3 linked regions of the Saccharomyces cerevisiae S288C genome follow. Each later gene encodes a partner of the first gene's protein in a complex. Each region holds a gene or a part of one and is shown in the gene's direction. Other genes may lie near its edges. The genes, in order: RSA4, NSA2 and REA1.

Evidence for each region.
Region 2: the proteins of RSA4 (region 1) and NSA2 are in contact, whole or in part, in a crystal structure (PDB 4WJV), measured with the Saccharomyces cerevisiae proteins. Residues at the interface, in NP_009997.2 of Saccharomyces cerevisiae: Ser144 (codon at 2,224), Thr145 (codon at 2,227), Leu147 (codon at 2,233), Gly164 (codon at 2,284), Trp188 (codon at 2,356), Leu190 (codon at 2,362), Trp231 (codon at 2,485), Ile232 (codon at 2,488), Thr233 (codon at 2,491), Lys256 (codon at 2,560), Trp322 (codon at 2,758), Asn324 (codon at 2,764), Asp379 (codon at 2,929), Leu404 (codon at 3,004), Asn406 (codon at 3,010), Phe422 (codon at 3,058), Tyr448 (codon at 3,136), Gln449 (codon at 3,139), Tyr490 (codon at 3,262), Lys506 (codon at 3,310); in NP_011052.1 of Saccharomyces cerevisiae: Asp85 (codon at 1,955), Ala86 (codon at 1,958), Leu87 (codon at 1,961), Pro88 (codon at 1,964), Thr89 (codon at 1,967), Tyr90 (codon at 1,970), Leu91 (codon at 1,973), Leu92 (codon at 1,976), Asp93 (codon at 1,979), Arg94 (codon at 1,982).
Region 3: the proteins of RSA4 (region 1) and REA1 are in contact, whole or in part, in a cryo-EM structure (PDB 6YLF), measured with the Saccharomyces cerevisiae proteins. Residues at the interface, in NP_009997.2 of Saccharomyces cerevisiae: Leu29 (codon at 1,879), Pro30 (codon at 1,882), Asn31 (codon at 1,885), Ala48 (codon at 1,936), Leu49 (codon at 1,939), Arg50 (codon at 1,942), Val51 (codon at 1,945), Pro52 (codon at 1,948), Pro108 (codon at 2,116); in NP_013207.1 of Saccharomyces cerevisiae: Glu4778, Thr4779, Cys4817, Glu4818, Asp4853, Met4854, Ser4855, Gln4856, Val4857.

Annotation. Positions count from the first base shown.
Region 1 is NC_001135.5:240,204-244,146, reverse strand, and holds RSA4 (Rsa4p), read left to right. Parts: upstream 1-1,794; coding exon 1,795-3,342; downstream 3,343-3,943. Other genes in the region: mitogen-activated protein kinase kinase kinase SSK22, read left to right, coding at 1-1,559; mitochondrial 54S ribosomal protein mL49 IMG2, read left to right, coding at 3,604-3,943. UniProt on the Saccharomyces cerevisiae protein: Involved in ribosome biogenesis. Required for processing and efficient intra-nuclear transport of pre-60S ribosomal subunits.
Region 2 is NC_001137.3:412,793-415,881, reverse strand, and holds NSA2 (rRNA-processing protein NSA2), read left to right. Parts: upstream 1-1,702; coding exon 1,703-2,488; downstream 2,489-3,089. Other genes in the region: VFA1 (Vfa1p), read right to left, coding at 1-23; small subunit rRNA maturation protein LCP5, read right to left, coding at 328-1,401. UniProt on the Saccharomyces cerevisiae protein: Involved in the biogenesis of the 60S ribosomal subunit. May play a part in the quality control of pre-60S particles. Under normal, rapid growth conditions, high levels of NSA2 would allow the progression of pre-60S particles through the ITS2 processing.
Region 3 is NC_001144.5:360,677-365,572, reverse strand, and holds the start of REA1 (AAA family ATPase midasin), read left to right. Parts: upstream 1-1,834; coding exon 1,835-4,896. Other genes in the region: REX3 (RNA exonuclease), read right to left, coding at 243-1,457. UniProt on the Saccharomyces cerevisiae protein: Nuclear chaperone required for maturation and nuclear export of pre-60S ribosome subunits.

The DNA of each region.
Region 1 (3,943 bases):
TACAAAAAATCAATAAGGCATATTACAAACTTACTTATACAGTATTGAACAACTACAAAGGAATTCTAGGTAGCTTTATGAAGCAATGTCCGGGAAATGAGTTGTTAAATTCGATATTCATGTTTGGAAGGGATTTTGGAAGAAGTTTCCTTAAATATAACGCCTTTAGCTCAAAGAGGAAGTACGTTATCATCTTTCTGATGGTTAAATTAGGAATGAACTGGTTGAAATTCCTTGTTGAAGAGTGTGATCCTACCGATCAGCGAACTTTCCGATGGTGCGTTCTTGCAATGGATTTTGCGATGCAGATGACTAGTGGTTATAATATCCTGGCGCTGAATGTAAAGCAATTTCAAGAACTGAAGGAGAGGGTATCAGTATGTATGTCATTATTAATTTCACATTTCGACGTTATGGGTGCACGAGCCACTGAAGCTGAAAATGGCATGCAACAGGCAAGATTGAATATTGATACTGAAGAGAATATTGATGAAGAGGCCACCCTAGAAATAAACAGCAGGTTGAGACTGGAAGCTATAAAGACGTTGGAAAAGACTATGAAGAGGAATCCCAGGCAAATGGGTAAGGTATTGGATGCTACAGATCAGGGAAACAAATACCTACTATCGCTAGCATCCTCATTATCGAATGTATCAATGAGGTGGCAAAAAAGAAGCTTCATTGGCGGTGGAACATTTGGACAGGTATACTCTGCAATTAATCTGGAAAACGGTGAAATCTTAGCTGTTAAGGAAATAAAGATACACGATACCACAACAATGAAGAAGATTTTTCCCCTGATTAAAGAAGAGATGACCGTATTGGAAATGTTAAACCATCCTAATATTGTCCAGTACTATGGTGTCGAAGTACATCGCGATAAAGTTAACATCTTCATGGAATACTGTGAGGGTGGTTCTTTAGCCTCGTTATTGGATCATGGAAGAATTGAAGATGAAATGGTAACACAAGTGTACACATTCGAACTATTAGAAGGTTTGGCATATTTGCACCAATCTGGCGTGGTGCATCGCGACATTAAACCGGAGAATATCTTGCTGGATTTCAATGGAATCATAAAATATGTGGATTTTGGTACGGCACGTACCGTTGTAGGATCTAGGACTAGAACTGTGCGGAACGCAGCCGTTCAAGATTTTGGAGTAGAAACAAAGTCCCTCAATGAAATGATGGGGACACCGATGTATATGGCTCCAGAGACTATTTCAGGCTCGGCAGTTAAGGGAAAACTTGGAGCGGACGATGTATGGGCATTAGGATGTGTTGTGCTAGAAATGGCCACAGGTAGACGACCTTGGTCTAACTTGGATAATGAATGGGCCATCATGTACCACGTTGCTGCAGGTCGAATACCGCAACTACCCAATAGAGACGAAATGACTGCAGCGGGAAGAGCCTTCTTGGAAAGGTGTTTGGTTCAAGACCCCACTATGAGGGCTACTGCTGTGGAACTACTGATAGACCCTTGGATGATACAAATCCGTGAAATAGCATTTGGCAACTCAGAGAAAGATCAAGTACCTATCCTAAGCTCATAGAGTGGTCAACGTCTAAAAATATGATATACTACGATATATAATGTAATGTAATTCAATAATGGTGATGAAGGCAAGATTTCATTTAGAGCTGTTACCCGAGAAACCGGTGAAAAATTTTAAAATGAAAAAAAAAAAAAAAATGCGATGAGCTTCAAAAAGAGTATCTTTAAAAGACATATATCACAAGATTTTTATATTTGTAACCTCGATAAACACACACTAACACAATATACAGATGTCCACCCTGATTCCTCCACCTTCTAAGAAACAAAAGAAAGAGGCTCAACTTCCCAGAGAAGTAGCTATTATTCCGAAAGATTTACCCAATGTTTCAATCAAGTTCCAAGCTTTAGATACTGGTGACAATGTAGGTGGCGCCCTGAGAGTTCCCGGTGCTATCTCCGAGAAACAGTTAGAAGAACTTTTAAATCAATTGAACGGTACTTCAGACGATCCAGTGCCATATACCTTCAGCTGTACAATTCAAGGTAAGAAGGCCAGTGACCCTGTGAAGACGATTGATATAACAGATAACCTATATTCTTCATTAATAAAACCAGGCTATAACAGTACAGAAGATCAGATCACGCTACTGTATACGCCAAGAGCAGTTTTCAAAGTCAAGCCGGTAACTAGAAGTTCATCAGCCATTGCAGGTCACGGTTCCACAATTTTGTGTTCTGCCTTCGCACCACATACGAGTTCTAGGATGGTAACCGGTGCAGGTGATAATACTGCAAGGATTTGGGACTGTGACACCCAAACGCCAATGCATACTCTAAAGGGTCACTACAATTGGGTTCTCTGCGTTTCCTGGTCCCCCGATGGAGAAGTAATTGCTACGGGATCCATGGACAATACCATAAGATTATGGGACCCAAAAAGCGGTCAGTGTCTAGGTGATGCTCTCAGAGGTCATTCCAAGTGGATCACTTCTTTAAGTTGGGAACCTATACATCTTGTGAAGCCGGGCTCCAAACCAAGATTAGCTTCATCTTCTAAGGATGGTACTATTAAGATTTGGGACACTGTGAGCAGAGTTTGCCAGTATACGATGAGTGGTCACACAAATTCAGTGTCTTGTGTCAAATGGGGCGGCCAAGGTCTATTGTATAGTGGCTCTCACGATAGAACCGTACGTGTATGGGACATCAATTCGCAGGGCAGATGTATCAACATTTTGAAGTCGCATGCGCACTGGGTTAATCACTTATCTTTATCTACAGATTACGCATTGCGCATTGGTGCATTCGATCATACAGGTAAGAAGCCTTCTACACCAGAAGAAGCCCAGAAAAAGGCATTGGAAAATTATGAAAAAATCTGTAAAAAGAATGGAAATTCAGAAGAAATGATGGTTACTGCAAGCGATGATTATACCATGTTTTTATGGAACCCACTAAAATCTACCAAGCCTATAGCAAGAATGACCGGTCACCAAAAATTAGTCAATCATGTGGCGTTCAGCCCTGATGGTAGGTATATTGTCTCAGCGTCTTTTGATAACTCTATCAAACTTTGGGACGGTAGAGATGGTAAGTTTATCTCCACATTTAGAGGGCATGTAGCCAGCGTATACCAGGTTGCGTGGTCATCGGACTGCCGACTACTGGTGTCATGTTCCAAAGATACCACGTTGAAAGTGTGGGATGTAAGAACTAGAAAACTTTCTGTTGACCTCCCTGGTCATAAAGACGAAGTTTATACCGTCGACTGGAGTGTCGACGGTAAAAGAGTGTGTAGTGGTGGGAAAGACAAGATGGTAAGATTGTGGACGCATTGAGTTATGTGCAAAGACAAGTAACATACATGCACATATAAATATTATATAACTGTGATATAGAACTGCATTTTTTTCTTTTTGAATATTAAATATGATGGTGTCGCAAGGTCGATCTATAATGGTCATCGCGTACGAATGGCTTGGTATGAATTTAAAATATGGTACTATAAGCAGTATAGCTCCAGCAAGAAGGAAAACCTTTTGAAAGAAGTGCCCGTTTACCTAAAGCAACTTACTCCAAGGTAGCGTGTGAGCAAAACTATGATCAGTTCGTGTGTTACTAGATGTTTTGGTAGGGGTAAATGCCTTCCAGGGCCTGCCACTGCCTCGATATACCAAACGATAAGATGTATATCCACTAATTCAAATAAAGCTGCTGAGGCGCCAATATTTCCAAAGCTGGAAGACGTGAAGATGCATGAGCTCATAGGAAACAACAATTTTGGTAAAAAGACCTACTACGTGGAGAGAAGCAGGACCGGAAATCTACCGGTGTATTCCGCTTATAAAAATGGAGGTAACAAGATTATCACGGAGATCAGAAAGATTGAAGGAGATGTAATTCAACTAAGAAATGACTTGCAGGAGCAACTGCCTTTCA
Region 2 (3,089 bases), on another chromosome or scaffold:
CTGGCAACGTACTCATTTATCATTGTATATATACTATATCGTGGCACTTCTGGTGTGCCTTATTCCCACTATATTGTTAATTTATGGCGATTTAGTCATGTTCTGCTTAGGACTATAAAAAAAAAAAAGAAAAAAAAAGGTAGAGTTTATTCTGGAGGGACTAATAATCATAAAGGCAATGGTGCCTAAACCTCTCACACGTTAATGTCGTGAAAGCCAAAATTCTTGTTTTTAATAGCTTATATACCAGTGCCCTTCATTTATATTTAACTTTTAAATATTAAGTCTATAAACGCTTTAGGATATAAGAAAATAAACTTTTTGTATCTACAGTCTCCTTTGAGCTCTATCCCAGGCAGAACGAGTCTTCTTGGCCCCACGTCTCGAAGTGCTATCTTCCAGCTTCCTCTTTGAGCTGAATATACCAAAATCTTCACCACCGATAACGTTCATCCTTGCATTTCTTTCTCGTTGCTTTTGCTTCCTTTTTTCAGCTTTATTTGTAATATTCAATCTGGTAAAATTATCTTCTTCGAATGAAGTGACTCTACGTTCCTTCTCTGTGTCTCTCAAAGATTTGATACCGCCTCTTCCATGGTTCACAATGTCAGCACCAATAGATGCACTCCAGTCCGGTTGGTCCGATGACTCTCTAATATATTCTTCCATGGCTTGCATACGCGATTTGTTACTACGATCTTTGTGTTCTCTGGCATCGAATCTATCTTCAAAATGCGTTTGTTGCGGTGGTAGAACAGCCGTAATCTTTGGTGGTTTATACACGCCAGTCTCATTGTCATCGTTTTCTTCCCCGTTTTCTTGCTTAGCCGTTTCCTCCACCCTGTATGCTGATGATTTTTTATTTGTGTTGATAATTCCAGAGGTATTTGGCCTGTATGCTATTTCATCCTCACTAGACTCATCATCTTCGCTATCGTCGTTGCCGCTATGATTCACTAAGGTAGATTTTTCCAGTGCACGCTTCTCAGCGTCTTTATATTCCTTTTCCATTTTCACATATGCTCTAGTCAGCTTGTCCAATTGGTAAGCCAACTTTTTTTCTAGTGGTTTAACACCACGCTCTAATACCACACGGTGTTGAATAGAGCGTTCACGTGCATCCATAGCAGAAGGATCTTTGCACTCGTCGTCTAGCCTATTGCCTATAAGCATCAATAGAGAATTTATGTACCCTAGCATGCTCCCATTTTTTAAGGATAGCAGCGATACTTTCTCAGCAGGCTTCTTAGCGTCGTAAAATAGATGCTCATGTAGTTGGTTACTTTCAGGAATCTCATCGGTCGCAGAATTACTATAAATCCCAGACAACCTCTCCAAGGATTCTGATGTCGCAGTGAGCGAGCCGTTGATATCTTTTAATAATGCATTAAGTTCAGACATTCTTGGATTTGTGTGTTAGTTGACAATTTTAATTTCTTCATCTCTTTTGACACTTTAGAATGGTATAGCTCATCGGTTTCTTTTCTTCAACCTTGCAGGAAAGGCGTAAAAAATTTTATGTCGTCGGCAACGGTTCTAGTAACAATCCGATGAAAAATTTTCCGGACAGCGATGAGATGCACTTTTAAGACAATTGAATGGATTAGGTATCAGTTAGAGAAGAACTTGGTTTTCGTATCTGGCGTTTTTATCTTTAGTCAGTAGTCAGTCTCGTATCAATACTGATATATACAACGAAACAATGCCTCAAAACGATTATATCGAGCGTCACATCAAACAGCATGGTAAAAGATTAGATCACGAAGAAAGGAAACGTAAGAGAGAGGCAAGAGAGTCTCATAAGATTTCTGAACGGGCCCAGAAGTTGACTGGTTGGAAGGGTAAGCAATTTGCTAAGAAGAGATATGCTGAAAAGGTATCAATGAGAAAGAAGATTAAGGCACATGAACAATCTAAGGTCAAGGGTTCATCCAAACCATTGGATACCGATGGTGATGCTTTGCCGACATATCTATTGGACAGAGAACAAAATAACACAGCCAAAGCTATTTCTTCATCGATCAAACAAAAGAGGTTGGAAAAAGCTGATAAGTTTTCAGTTCCGTTACCAAAGGTTCGTGGTATAAGTGAAGAAGAAATGTTCAAAGTTATTAAAACAGGTAAATCTAGATCCAAGTCATGGAAGAGAATGATAACGAAACACACTTTTGTGGGTGAAGGTTTCACTAGAAGACCAGTTAAAATGGAAAGAATCATCAGACCAAGTGCGTTGAGACAGAAAAAGGCAAACGTCACTCATCCGGAATTAGGTGTAACTGTCTTCTTGCCAATTTTGGCAGTTAAGAAGAATCCACAATCTCCAATGTACACTCAGTTAGGTGTTTTGACTAAAGGTACCATTATTGAAGTTAACGTTTCGGAATTGGGGATGGTTACTGCTGGTGGTAAAGTTGTCTGGGGTAAGTATGCTCAGGTCACAAACGAACCAGACAGAGACGGCTGTGTCAATGCGGTTTTGCTTGTATGAGCAAAAAAGTGCTCCGTTTTTTTTTTTTTTATCTCGATGGTTCAAATTAGGTTTACTTTTAATTTAATAATACGATATACGTCTACAAGCACAAAAGAACAGGTATATAAAAAATGTACGCTCTGTCCTGTTCGGGTTTCTCTTTTTACTTCTCGTCATTCTCTGTACAATATAACAAATCAAGAATTTATTATCCGGTTCTTTTTTCCTCACGACAAATAACCGATACTCTCCGTGTGTAGGTGACTGGCAAGAGAGGGATTGCCTAGTACGCTCGTTTCAAGTATGTACCTCACGAGAGCAATTTCAACTGTAGTATAATACCCAGGTCACTATTCAGTTTTAAAATGCAAGAAAATTAAAAAACAAAAAACGTATGGTTGTAAAAAGCAGGGCACATTATATGTATATAAATAAAAAAAAAAATTAATAAAATCTAAAAAGAGGATATAAAAAATAAGAGGCGTAAGGCAATATAAATTATTGGTATCATGCTCCTTTTGAAAAGGAAAACCTCCTCTTATGGCGAACTTGAAAAGAACTTTGCGTAATCATCAAAAAAAGCACTTCACGTTTTCCTGCATTTTCTTTGCTGCTTTCC
Region 3 (4,896 bases), on another chromosome or scaffold:
GATTATGGTGCTTCAGCTATCATCAAGTTTGGTACATCCTGAACCCAATTTCACGATATTTTAATATTCAGATATTGAAAAGGTGCATTATTATTGTTCGCTTAAATACAGAAAATAGGAAAGCAATACGAAATCATTACTTTTATCATGTTGTTTCTTAACGTAATTACTTAATAAAACTCATGTGAACCGTATGAAATGTAATAACTATATATGTCTGCTCAACTTTGAATATGATCACATTATTTTTCCCACTTGTTTTGACTTGGAGAAATACCTATTTTGACTTTAACAACGTCCATCGTTGCTATTGCATCTTGAGAACTATCATGCTCGCCATTTTGGATTTTTCTACTCAAAACTTCAAACGCTAAGTTCTTCAAAGAAACCTTAAACTTTGTTCTTGAATAAAGTATTGCAGTATCTATAACCTTATTATGAAATAGCCTCATGACGTTCAGATCGTTCTCTAGTCCGTGCCCTATAAGAATACTATTTTTATTTATTAAGTTTTCGGATAAAAAAACATCAAGTGCCTCCTTGTACGTCGGGCAATTGGTTCGGTCAATCTCATGGACACCACTGAAGTCTGAATTCAGATCGACAATATCCCCTATTGGCTGAATTACATGATCAAATAGTGTCTTGCCGGTGAAAAAATCCACAATTGTTAAACGTATCATCTCATAGCCCAATGATGTAAAAGCCATTTCACAGTCAAGAGAAAGAACATTCTCAACACCATCAATGTCATCTGTACTAGAAAACTTCGAAATTTTGCATAACTCGTCATATGATTCTCCTCTAAACACATGGTGAAAAAACGTCTTGCATCCTAGCCTTAGAAAAGAAACGGAATCAGTAGTTTCACCACAGCATGGATACTGATGGTTCTTGGTATCTCTGTTGTATATTCTTTTCAAAGGGTGATACCTACATAGAGTCTTTTCCATGATGTCTGTTTTTTTGAAATTTGAGCTGCAACGCAAACAAGGTGCATACAGTTGCGTACTATTGTCATCATTAGTTTTATTTTGCATTTCCTTAACAATATACCCATTTTTCTCTAAGACCTTCGAATCCAAAATCAGAGCCTTTAAAGCTTCCATCGCTTTTGATTTTGTAGTGATAGAGTTTGCATTACCAATTGAGGATAAATGAGGCTTAGCTCCTTTAAGGGGGCGCCCATTAATTTTGATCTTCGAGAGATCTCCTTTATATTTAAGCACATCCCGCAGTAAAATGCTCATGTTAAACTTGTAACTCTGACCAGACAAGCTGTTTTTAGCAACATGGACTTCTAAGCGAGTGGCAAGTCTTTCAAGGTCAATATTAGTTCCTTTTGTGTGTGCATATGCCTTTTGTAGCTGCTTGAATAATTTCTGCAAAATTTTATATCTTTCTTGGAATCCAAGCGGTTGATTTACCAGATCAACCGGTCTCAACAAACTTCCCATACTAAAGCTTTCTCTTGATATATAGTCAAACTGAATGTATACTGAAACACATATTCAAGGCATTGATTTTAAATGCACTTGAACCGTTATTCCATTTCTTTTTCTACTCATCATTTATTGTCGCCCTTTACGAGGTATTTTTTCTTTTTCGAGTGAAAAATTTTAAAGAAGCGATGAGCTAAGGTCTATTTAGCTTTATGAAAAGAAAACATTATATCACTTACTGCTTTACTTTAGACATTCCTCTCCAAAGTGATTATTTTAAAGATTCAAAGTACCTCTGAGTTAATTTGACATCGAATTCTACTCTTATTATTTTAAGGTACCTCTACTTTACGCGGTCACATTATTTTTAAAACCGTTATAATCTGCTGAGAATGTCCCAGGATAGAATTTTGTTAGATTTAGACGTAGTTAACCAAAGGTTAATTCTCTTCAATTCTGCTTTTCCCTCTGATGCTATTGAAGCGCCCTTCCACTTTAGCAACAAGGAATCAACTTCTGAGAATTTAGACAATTTAGCAGGAACTATACTACATAGCCGTTCCATCACTGGTCATGTTTTCCTTTACAAACATATTTTTTTAGAGATAGTGGCACGTTGGATAAAGGACTCCAAAAAAAAAGATTACGTTCTTGTAATTGAAAAGTTGGCAAGTATAATTACAATATTTCCCGTTGCAATGCCATTAATTGAAGACTATTTAGATAAAGAGAATGATCATTTCATCACTATTCTTCAAAATCCATCCACACAAAAGGATTCCGACATGTTTAAAATACTATTAGCATACTATAGGTTACTATATCACAATAAAGAAGTATTTGCACGCTTCATTCAACCCGACATTTTATACCAACTTGTGGATTTACTCACCAAAGAACAAGAAAATCAGGTTGTTATATTTCTAGCATTAAAGGTTTTATCTTTATACTTAGACATGGGAGAAAAAACATTAAACGATATGCTCGACACTTATATAAAATCACGCGATTCATTGTTGGGCCATTTTGAGGGCGATTCTGGAATTGATTACAGCTTCCTCGAACTGAACGAAGCTAAGAGATGTGCAAATTTCTCTAAACTACCCAGTGTTCCAGAATGTTTCACTATAGAAAAAAAATCTAGCTACTTCATTATTGAGCCTCAGGATTTGAGTACTAAGGTCGCGTCAATCTGTGGCGTTATCGTCCCTAAGGTCCACACTATCCACGACAAAGTATTCTACCCATTAACCTTTGTCCCTACTCATAAAACGGTTTCCTCTCTTCGTCAACTCGGGAGAAAGATTCAAAATTCAACTCCAATAATGCTCATTGGAAAAGCGGGATCCGGTAAAACCTTTTTAATCAATGAGCTAAGTAAATATATGGGTTGCCATGACTCCATTGTGAAAATTCATTTAGGTGAACAAACTGATGCCAAGTTACTGATTGGTACTTATACCTCTGGTGACAAGCCAGGCACGTTTGAATGGAGAGCTGGTGTTCTCGCTACCGCGGTCAAAGAAGGGAGATGGGTACTTATAGAAGACATAGATAAAGCTCCTACAGATGTTTTATCAATACTTTTATCGCTTTTAGAAAAGCGCGAACTAACCATTCCATCCAGAGGAGAGACTGTAAAGGCTGCAAATGGTTTCCAGTTAATATCAACTGTTAGAATAAACGAAGATCATCAGAAGGATAGTTCCAATAAGATCTATAACTTGAATATGATTGGTATGAGAATCTGGAATGTTATTGAATTAGAGGAACCTAGCGAAGAGGATTTGACACACATTTTAGCCCAAAAGTTTCCCATTTTGACCAACCTTATCCCCAAACTAATCGATTCATACAAAAACGTCAAAAGTATTTATATGAACACCAAGTTCATTTCATTGAACAAGGGGGCACACACAAGAGTTGTATCTGTAAGAGATTTAATTAAGCTGTGCGAAAGGTTAGACATCCTATTCAAAAACAATGGCATCAACAAACCTGACCAACTAATCCAGTCTTCTGTCTACGACAGTATTTTCTCCGAAGCCGCCGACTGTTTCGCTGGCGCTATTGGAGAATTCAAAGCTTTGGAACCTATTATACAAGCAATCGGCGAGTCATTAGACATTGCTTCCTCAAGGATTTCGTTATTTTTGACCCAACATGTGCCCACTTTGGAAAACCTTGATGATAGCATTAAAATTGGAAGAGCCGTATTACTTAAGGAAAAGCTAAATATACAAAAAAAATCAATGAACAGCACATTGTTCGCATTTACGAATCATTCTTTAAGACTAATGGAACAGATTTCTGTTTGTATACAGATGACTGAACCTGTTTTACTAGTCGGTGAAACGGGTACCGGGAAAACTACAGTCGTTCAACAACTTGCTAAGATGTTAGCAAAAAAATTAACGGTAATCAATGTTTCACAACAAACAGAAACTGGTGATCTTCTTGGTGGGTACAAACCCGTAAATTCTAAAACAGTTGCAGTTCCTATACAAGAAAATTTTGAAACTCTTTTTAATGCTACATTTTCCTTAAAGAAGAACGAGAAGTTTCACAAGATGCTACATAGGTGCTTCAACAAGAATCAATGGAAGAACGTTGTTAAACTTTGGAACGAAGCGTACAAAATGGCTCAAAGCATATTAAAAATTACAAACACTGAAAATGAAAACGAAAATGCAAAGAAGAAGAAAAGAAGACTCAATACTCATGAAAAAAAATTGTTACTTGACAAATGGGCTGACTTCAATGACTCAGTGAAGAAGTTTGAGGCCCAGTCTAGCTCTATTGAAAACTCGTTTGTCTTCAATTTTGTCGAGGGTTCTTTGGTAAAGACTATCAGGGCTGGGGAGTGGCTATTGCTCGATGAAGTGAATTTAGCAACCGCAGATACCTTAGAAAGTATTTCTGACCTTCTCACCGAGCCTGATTCTCGTAGTATTCTTCTTTCAGAAAAGGGTGACGCTGAGCCTATAAAAGCTCACCCCGATTTTAGAATATTTGCTTGTATGAACCCCGCTACTGATGTTGGTAAAAGAGACTTACCTATGGGTATCAGATCAAGATTTACCGAAATATATGTACATTCTCCGGAACGTGATATTACTGATTTGCTTTCCATAATTGATAAATATATTGGAAAGTACAGCGTCAGCGATGAATGGGTAGGAAATGACATCGCTGAACTTTACCTTGAAGCCAAAAAACTCTCCGATAACAATACTATAGTTGATGGCTCAAACCAAAAACCACACTTTAGTATCCGTACCCTGACGCGTACATTGCTTTATGTTACTGATATTATTCATATCTACGGTCTACGCCGTTCCCTGTATGATGGATTCTGTATGAGTTTTTTGACTTTACTGGACCAAAAATCTGAGGCCATTCTGAAGCCAGTAATAGAAAAATTCACATTGGGGAGGCTAAAAAATGTCAAGTC